Canis lupus familiaris: one gene and its partner. The protein of the gene in region 1 interacts with the protein of each later gene in a pairwise test. Links are inferred from orthologs where the notes say so. Each region holds a gene or a part of one and is shown in the gene's direction. Other genes may lie near its edges. The genes, in order: ERICH2 and MACROH2A1.

What was found.
Region 2: the proteins of ERICH2 (region 1) and MACROH2A1 interact in binary tests that used the Homo sapiens proteins (3 or more experiments, as listed by UniProt). The two-hybrid records come from large-scale screens. The link is inferred for Canis lupus familiaris from reciprocal best matches to the Homo sapiens genes ERICH2 and MACROH2A1.

Annotation. Positions count from the first base shown.
Region 1 is NC_049257.1:15,608,422-15,613,018, forward strand, and holds the start of ERICH2 (glutamate-rich protein 2), read left to right. Parts: upstream 1-1,592; 5' UTR 1,593-1,732; intron 1,733-4,597.
Region 2 is NC_049232.1:23,466,163-23,470,392, reverse strand, and holds the start of MACROH2A1 (core histone macro-H2A.1), read left to right. Parts: upstream 1-1,358; 5' UTR 1,359-1,375; intron 1,376-1,386; exon of another isoform or gene 1,387-1,404; intron 1,405-1,439; exon of another isoform or gene 1,440-1,528; intron 1,529-1,967; exon of another isoform or gene 1,968-2,168; intron 2,169-4,230. UniProt on the Homo sapiens protein: Variant histone H2A which replaces conventional H2A in a subset of nucleosomes where it represses transcription. Nucleosomes wrap and compact DNA into chromatin, limiting DNA accessibility to the cellular machineries which require DNA as a template.

The DNA of each region.
Region 1 (4,597 bases):
TTATCAAACTGGGTATTTGTCAATAACTCATTGAGTTCTTTAAAAAAAACTTCCATTCTGGCTTTTTTTTTTTTTTCTTTTTTGCCTCCTTCCCTCCATCCAGGAATCCAAGGAGATTGAGTGAACATGGACAGATGATTAAGATAAATATAACTGAATCTCTATGTACCCTTGGTTCCTGAAATGGTCCTAGTGGTTCTATTTTGATGAGGATGATAAAAATCTACCATTTCTGAAGCACTTTTTAAAAATTTTTTTCAAAGATTATATTTATTTATTCATGAGAGACACAGAGAGAAAGAGGGAGGCAGAGACACAGGCAGAGGGAGAAACAGGCTCCACACAGGGAGCCCGACGTGGGGCTCAATCCTCGGTCTCCAAGGTCACGCCCTGGGCTGAAGGCGGCGCTAACCGCTGGGCCACCCGGGCTGCCCTGAAACATCTTTTAAACGCCAGATGTTTTGTTTTATATGTTGTTGTTTGAAGCAATCATCTACCAAAGTACATATTCCCAAGAAGGTACCTAACCCCAGAGGTTATACAGCGATTATACCTCATATCATGTGGCTACTTAGTGAAATTCGATTCCAGATTGGATTCCCACAAACAGGCATCCTTCAGGACCTGTTGCCTAGCAACAAGCCCATCGGACACTTCCTGATCCCAAGCGGAGAAAAGCAACAAATTCCTTCCTGGAAGCCAAGCTTGCGGTACAATTAGAATTTTCTAAGAGAAGCGTTCCCTCACCCCCTTTTGTGACCAAAACCTCCCACTGGCCGAGGTCCGTTTCATATCCCAGGACTTGGGATATTAAACTCGATTTCTGGGGAAATCGTGATTTTCTCGGGGCGACCTCAAGTTGGGGATCAAGTGCCGCAGGCGACGTTTGTTTATCCGCATCCAGAGATAAGCTTCTGTCTCCCAACTCGAGACTCCTTTCACTCCACAAGCTTAAAACAGGAGCGAGGCCACCCCGCCCTGTCCCCGGTGCCCCCCAGAGCAGGATCCGGAACGGACGACGGCGTCCCGGGCGCCCTCCTGCCTTCCCTTCGCCGAGGAACGCGCGCGCGCGCCCCCGACGTGCGGCGCCGCGGAACTGCCGGCGCCCCCGAGCCCCGGCCTCTCGCCCCGCCCCCCTCCAGGGCTCGCCGGGCCTGCCACGCCCCCGCCACGCCCACCACCCCCGCCCCTGCCGTGGCTCCCCGGGCCTGCTCCGCCCCCGCCCCGCCCCCTCCGGGCTCCCCAGGCCTGCTCCGCCCCCGGCCCCGCCCCCGGCCCCGCCCCCTCCGCCGGGCCCGGAACTTGCCCCGCCTCCTCAGGCTTTCCTCACCGCCCACGGGAGGCTCCGCGCGGCCGCTTCCCCGCGCCCGGCGCCCGCCCCCGCTGCCCCGGCGCGTCCCGCCTCCTCCCCGCCCCTCAGCGGCTCTCGCAGCTCGCCCCGCCTCCGCCCTCCGCGCTCCGCCTCGGCCCCCCGCTGCTGCCCCGGCTCCCGCCGCCCGCCGCCCGCCGGCCCGTCTCCGTGGCGACGCTGCGTCCAGGGCGCCCCTCCCGGAACCCCGCGCGAGTGTGCGCCCTGCGGCCCAGCGGTCTGAGAGGCCCCGCGGCGGCTGCGGGTCGCCTCTCCCCACCCTCGCGTGCAGACCCGGCCCCGCGCCGTGAACTCGCACACCTGTCCGCGCCCTCCAGGTGCGGGCCCCGGAGCTCCGCGGCTGCCCGAGCGGCGCGCGGAAAGGTAGGACCCGCGCGGCGGGGGTGCGCCTCCAGCGTGGCTGCCTCCTCTGGCTGTGGGCGGGCCCTCGGGAGGGGATATAGCGTCTGTGTCTACGCGGGGGTGTGGTAACTGAGCAGTTCTGGGGTGGCTTTGTTTTCTTTTCTTTTTTTTTTTTTTAAGATTTTATTTATTCTTGAGAGACCCAGGCTGAGGGAGAAGCAGGCTCCCTGCGGGGAGCCCGATGCGGGACTCGATCCCGTGACCCCGGGATCACGACCTGAGCGGAAGGCAGACGCTCAGCCACTGAGCCGCCCGGGCGCCCCGGCTGGGCAGTTGACAGCCGGTCTACACCACATTCTCTGGCTTGCCCTTTCGCCTGCGCCAAGTGCCTCACGCTCCCCCCCCAAAACAGTGAAATTAGCTTTGTTGCATCTCAGAGCTTCCAGCTACTTCTCTCCATCCTTGCCTCCTACACCTACCTCCTTTAACACACACACACACACACACGCAAACTTTTTTTTCTTTTATCTGTTTTTTTCTTCTTTTTTGGGAAACAGCTTAATGACCAGTAGGAGCCAGCGTTCACTGACTGTACTTAATATTGTCATTACTTGCTAGACATAACTTGACCATAAAGAATTCTTGTGGAATTGGGACAAATCATTGAGCCTCCCCTGGCCTCCTTTTCATCTTATGTAAAACCAGGGGCCAACAGTGGATCACTTCTAAGGTCCAGTCTTCAGCCTTGTGTGAGGTGACAAAATTGACTTGAGATTTCCAAAATCAAGATATATGGCCTTTGATTACTCAAACTATTCTGCACTGCGCAGCTGTGGCACTTAACACAGGGCATGATTATAAATTTATCATTTGATTTTCCAGAGGGCATTAGGTGAATTGGACCGATATGTGCTTACCCCCAAGAGACCCCCTGGGTGTGGCTTTTTTTTTTTTTTAAGATTTTATTTATTTATTCATGAGAGACACAGAGACAGAGAGAGGAGGAGGAAGAAGCAGGCTCCATGCAGGGAGCCCAGTGTGGGATTCAGTCCCGGGACTCTGGGATCACACCCCAGGCAGAAGGCAGGCGCTAAACCACTGAGCCACCCAGGGATCCGCTGGATGTGGCTTTTTAAAAATAAATCTGAAAAAGACATTGAAAATGTCTTTTGTTTCATTCTCCTAAAAACCAAATGCAGTGATCCCCAAATCCACCTAATTTATTTTTAATCTCAGGAAAACAAAGTTAAGATTTTTTCCAGAGGTGAATTCCAACACCTTTAGGGATCCCATTGCACTACTCCAGAATTCTAGAGCTTCCTGTGACCACCTCTCACCACCACCATTTGAGCTAAATGTTCAGTGTGTCCCCCGCCCCAGCTCCATCCAATCTCAGGTGAGCTAAATGTTCAGTGTCCCCCACCCCCCCTTCATGGCTCCATTCAATCTCAGGTGTGCACTCAGAACTGGCTTTTCTTAGAGTTCACCTTCAGCAGTGTTCTTGCTTGGTGGTAGGTAATAGGAGGAGGAGGAGTTGTAGCAATTATAATTGTAGTAGGAGATAGGTGCTATTATTTATTATTGGCTATTTATATTAATCTTCACAATAACTCTATGAGGTAGGTCGTATTTTTGTCCTCATTTTATAGTTGAAGAAATTGAATCAGAGGTTAAGGTACCTGGCTTGAATTCACTAACAATTTGCTGAGATTTGAACATAGACAATCTGATTCAGCAGTCCGGGCTCCTAGCTCGACATTATGCTGTAAGGAAATATATAAAATTTGTATGTAGTCACTTTTTTTAAAAGATATTTTATTCATGAGAGAGAGAGAAAGAGAGAGAGAGAGAGAGACAGCAAGCACAGGCAGGGGGAGAGGCAGAGGGAGCAGCAGACTCCCCCGCTGAGCTGGGAGCCCAGCACAGGGCTCTATCCCAGGACTTGGAGATCACCACCTGAGCTGAAGGCAGTCACCTAACCATCTGAGCCACCCAGGCACCCCTATATGTGGTCTTTTTAAAATATGAATGTAAATGATAGATGATCATTGAAACCATTTTTATACACATTTGAGACTATGCAATGAAGATTGCCCCCAAATCCTCTTGTGCCCACACCAGGCTCCCCTGGGATGGAGGATGGTGCTTAATTAGCTCTGTCTTCTCGTCACTGTTGCAGGGCTTGAGCATGTAACTAATTCATTCTTTGCCTATTAAAATACTAGGTGGCTTATAAAGACAGCCCGAAAGGATAAAATAATTGCACAGATGGGGTGGTAGAAAATGTATACATCTTCCAATATTACAAGAGAAACCCAAAATGAGAATTTTGTGAAATCTGAATTTTGAATGCTGGTAACTCATTTTATGGAAGGTTTTTTAAGACCTATAGAATCCAAATAAAAACTATCTGGCCCTATTGGCTGGTTAGTGAATATTTACCTAGAAGAATAAGGGAATGGATGTTTTATGTTCTTTTTTTAGTACTAAGTCATTATAATCTGGTGTGCATGTCTTAAATGGAACCAGTCACATTTCAGGTGTTCAACAGCTACATGTGTCTAGTGGCTACCATATTGGATAGCAAAGATCTAGTTTAATACTTTCTTTTGGGGCAGCCGGGGTGACTTAGCGGTTTAGTGCCACCTTCAGCCCAGGGCCTGATCCTGGAGACCCGGGATCGAGTCCCACGTCGGGCTCCCTTGCATAGAGCCTGCTTCTCCCTCTGCCTGTGTCTCTGCCTCTCTCTCTTTCTCTCTCTCTGTCTCTCTCATGAATAAATAAATAAAAATCTTAAAATATTAAAAAATTTCTTTTTTTTAAGATTTTATTTATTCATGAGAGACACACACACAAAGAGGCAGAACATTATCTTAGAAAATGATA
Region 2 (4,230 bases), on another chromosome or scaffold:
GGCCATTCATGTATTCATTATTCCAATTAAGTACTGAGGTCATAGTTTGTGTCATACACTAATGTGGGTGATAAAGTTTAAGCAGTGAACAAAAGGGGCAAAAATACTTGCCCTCTAGGACTTTGAAGTCCAGTAGAGAAATAAAGAGCCTAAGAGTTGACACGTCTTATCTGACGTATAGAAGTATAATACTGTGGAGAAGAATAAGGCAGGGGAGGGGGACAGTGTAAGACGGGGTGAGGTTTCAAATTTTAGAGAAGGCCTCCCTGAGAAGGTGAGATTTAAATAAAGACATGAAGGAATTGAAGGAGCAAGTCATGTGGATGAGGCCAGGGGGGAGGAGGGGAGTGTTCCAAGATGAGGAACAGCAAATGCAAAGTCCCTTAGACAGAAGTGTCTCTGAGGTGGTCAAGGAATAGTCAAAGTGTTCTTACTACAAAAAGAAGTAATTAGGGACACCTGGGTGGCTCAGCGGTTGAGGGTCTGCCTCGGGCTCAGGGCGTGATCCTGGGGTCTTAGGATCTAGTCCTCCATCTGGCTCCAAAGGGAGCCTGCTTCTCCCTCTGCCCATGTCTCTGCCTCTTTCTCTGTGTCTCTCATGAATAAGTAAGTAAAATCTTAAAAGTCAACCCATTCCTTAAATTTACCCATTGTTATATGTCAGTTTATATCTCAATTTTTGTTTTAAGATAAAGAGAGAGAGTCTGAGTGCAAGAGCCGGAGTGGGTGGCAGAGGTAGAGGGAGAGACTCCTAAACAGGCTCCATGCCCAGCGCAGAGACCAGGAAGCCCCGCTGGATCTCACCATCCTGAAATTATGACCTGAGCCCAAATCAGGAGTTGGAGGCTTCATTGACTTAGCTGCCCAGGGATCCCTGCTTTGCAAACTTTTGAAGTGTTAAAGTAGCGTGGGGAGGGGAGGAGGTTACCTACCCCCGCTGCTGAGGGGCAGCCTGAGAGCTGGGAGCGGGTTTGATTACTTCCATAATCTCGCCGCACCGCCTCCAGCAAGGCACAGGAAGCTTCACAATTCTTCCGGGGTGGGTGGGGGGTGGGGGGTGGGGGGCGTGTATCTTTATTTAAATCTGGTCCACACCTGGGTGCTGAGATAGCCTCCCTGTTGGCAATTTGGCCAGGAAAGGGAAGGCCGTTGAGAGAAGGCCCCTATCTAGGTACCCTGGATGGGGCACTAACGCTTTGGGGCAAAAAGATCAATTTAGGAATATAGAGACGGGCTTTGTAGTGGCTCCTTCTCTTTCTGCTTGTCTGCGGTTTAAAAACAAAACAAAAAGAAAGAAAAAAACTGTGTGTGATAATCACTTTTGATGTTCGCAAATCGCAACTTGGGTCCAACCGTGAACGTTGGCGAAGTCAAAGTAGGTGACGGCTTCCACGGACAAAGCAGGTCCGGGCGTACGCGGGCCACTAAGGGAGCGGGGGGGGGGGGGTCAGGGAGCAGGAGCGGGGCGGCCGGGGCGGCCCGGGTGTCTGAGAAAGGCGACGCGCAGCTGGGCGCGCTCTGCTCGGAGGTAGGGGCGCTCGGGGCTCTCGCCTCGAGGGCGGCGTCCGGCTCTGCAGCCCCGCGCTCCGTGCCAGGCACCCCGCAGGCGCTCACGAAGGGTCGCCGGGGACGCAGGCGGGGAGGCGCGCGAGCAGAGCCGCGGCCCCGGGACCTGAGCCCCCCGGAGCGCCGGGGCGGGGGGGGGGGGGGGGGGGGGGCGGGGGGCTCGGGCCCGACGGCGCGCGTGCGGCGTCCAGCCGGGAGGCGGGGGTGCCCGCGGGCAGGGCAGGGCAGGGCAGGGCCGGGCGCGGAGGGGCGCGCGCAGCCGCGCGGCTGGGGTCAAGGCCGGGGCGCCCGGGCGGCGCGGGGGGGCGGCGCGGGGGGGCGGCGGGGGCGGGGCGGGGGCGGCCGGACGCGCGGGGCCGGCATGGGATGTGACGAGCGGCGCGCTGTGCATTGTGGGAATCCCGGGGCCGCGGCGACTGGTTCCAGTTCACTCGGCGGCGGAGCCGGGCGGAGGGGGCAGGCGCGCGGCGCGCGGGCGGGAAGCGAGGAGGCGGGCGGGCGGGCCAGCGACGAGCGCGGAGAGAAAAGGCGCGAGCGGCCGAGAGGGCACCCGGGCCGGACACCTAGCTGCTGCCGCCGCCGCCGAGCCGCCGAGCCGCCCCGTAAGTGCCGCGCGGGCGCCCTCGCGGCGCGCCGGGTCCCCGCCGTCCGGGTCCGGGGGCCGCGCTCTTCCGGCCGCGGGGCTCCCCGGGGGCGGCCGGGGCCTGGCGCGCGCGGGCGGCGCTCGGCGGGGCTCGGGGGGGCCGCGCTCGGCGTGTGGCCCACGCGGGGCCTCCCGCGCGCGCTCGGCGCCCTCCCAGGCCCCGGGCCGGCCGCGCGGGATTCTCTCTGGTTTTGTTCAAACAGCAAACCCGGAAGCCAACTTCTCTCCAAACCGCGTCCTCCGGCCGGCGCCTGGGCGCTTTTGTGGGAAGGCGGCCTTCCCGGGGCGCGGGCCGAGCCGGAGGCCCCCCGGGCAGGCCCGGGGCCGCGGGGCGCGCCGTGTGGCGGCTGGTGAGGCCCCCGCACAATGAGTCGGCCCGAGAGCCAGGTGGCGGCGGCGGCGGCGGCGGCGGCGTCTGGCTCCGCGGAGAGGGGAGGGTCGGCGGCTGGGGGCACTCGTGGGCTTGGAGCCCGGCGGGCCCGGGAGGGGGCACGCGGGAACCCCCGTTGCCCTCGTTCATCTTCTGCTCGGCCTTTTGTTTGCTTTGTGGCTGGGAGTTTTTTTTTTTTTTTTTTTTTTTTTAAGGTAACTCGGGAAGGCTGTAGGCGCCCTGGGTGGAGAAGGCCTGCAGAGAAGGGCCTCGCGGGGGGTGGGGTGGAGCGGAGCGGGGAGGTGAGCGCGCTGGATGCTGCCGGCGGTGTCACCTGACAACAGGTGTGTGGGGTGGCGCGCCCCGCCTCCGCTCCTGCGGGAACCGCGGATCCCTCCAGGATCCGGTCAGTTGATCGGAAGGTTGTTTCAGACGAGAGGTTAGGCGGAGTATTGTTTGAGTTCGAAAGCGAGAAACGTCTGTACAAACAGCTGAGACAAACTTTGAATCCAACAACTGCAATCGCCGTGAAATCCTTGTGAGGTTTTAATGATCCAATAAACAGCATATAAAAGTAGACAATTAGAGGGGCATTCCTGCTAACTTCTCCTTTTCTTCCACCTTTGCGGTTTGAGGTTTTGCCTTAAAGAAGGGCAGAAGTACTTTGTCCCAGGCTCCCTTCTCGTTGGACTGGGGGAATTTCAGGCAGGTTTAGGTTTGAATGGGAGACTCTAGTTGTAAGTCAGGTGGACTCTACCTACTGCGGGCCACCTTTAGTGTATCATTCTGCCTTCAGAGGAGTTACTGGCTCTGAAATGGCCACCTCACGCTTGCAGCTGGAATTTATACCTCTTGTACACACACAACTGAACAAAGTTGGGCAGTGTCATTCCAGTCTTGCACAAGAGCCTCTCCAGTGGGGATAAATACGTTTTCAAACCTTATTTTTTTTTTCCTAAGAAAGAAAAAAAACACCCTAACCAAAAACCCTCAATCTTAAAAATTCTTCCGCTGTTCTAGTTTTAGGAGAGTGGGAAATCTCTTCATTCTGTAATTTTGTTTTAACCTGTCACCGTTGTTAATGCTTGATCACTAGATAAAGGCATTAGGAAGGACGGAAGAATTTAAGTGAAAATTATTTGAGGTAGGGCCTTTAGAATGAGGAGTGGTCTGGGACATCACTTGTAAGACTATAACACACAGCCCTAAGTCACTGGTGTGGTCTGTACCAAAGGGGCCAGGCACAGGAAGTGTCCATCTCATTCTGCCATTTTTTCTAGTTCTTCTAGTTCTGCGACAGCAGAACTCCAACAGCCCTTTTCCTTTTTCCAATAGAAAGTCTTGGAATACGTGTATTCTGGGACCTGCCTCTAATACCTTCAGAGCTAATGCTGCCCCCAGTCATCTAAGGGTGATTTATTTAAATAAAAGTGCAAACCCCAAGCTAGCAAAACCACAGTAAGAACCTATTATATGTGCTGTTGATCAGAATTACAGCAGCTTCTACTTTTTGTTGGATTATGCCTTTGGATTTGTGTTAGGTTTTTCAGAGCCCCATTCTTGGCATATAGGCTGGGAAGGAGCAGGGGCAAGGGGGACCCCACACCTGCCCTGTAGGTAGGTCCTCCCCACATTCTACAGTTTTAGAAGT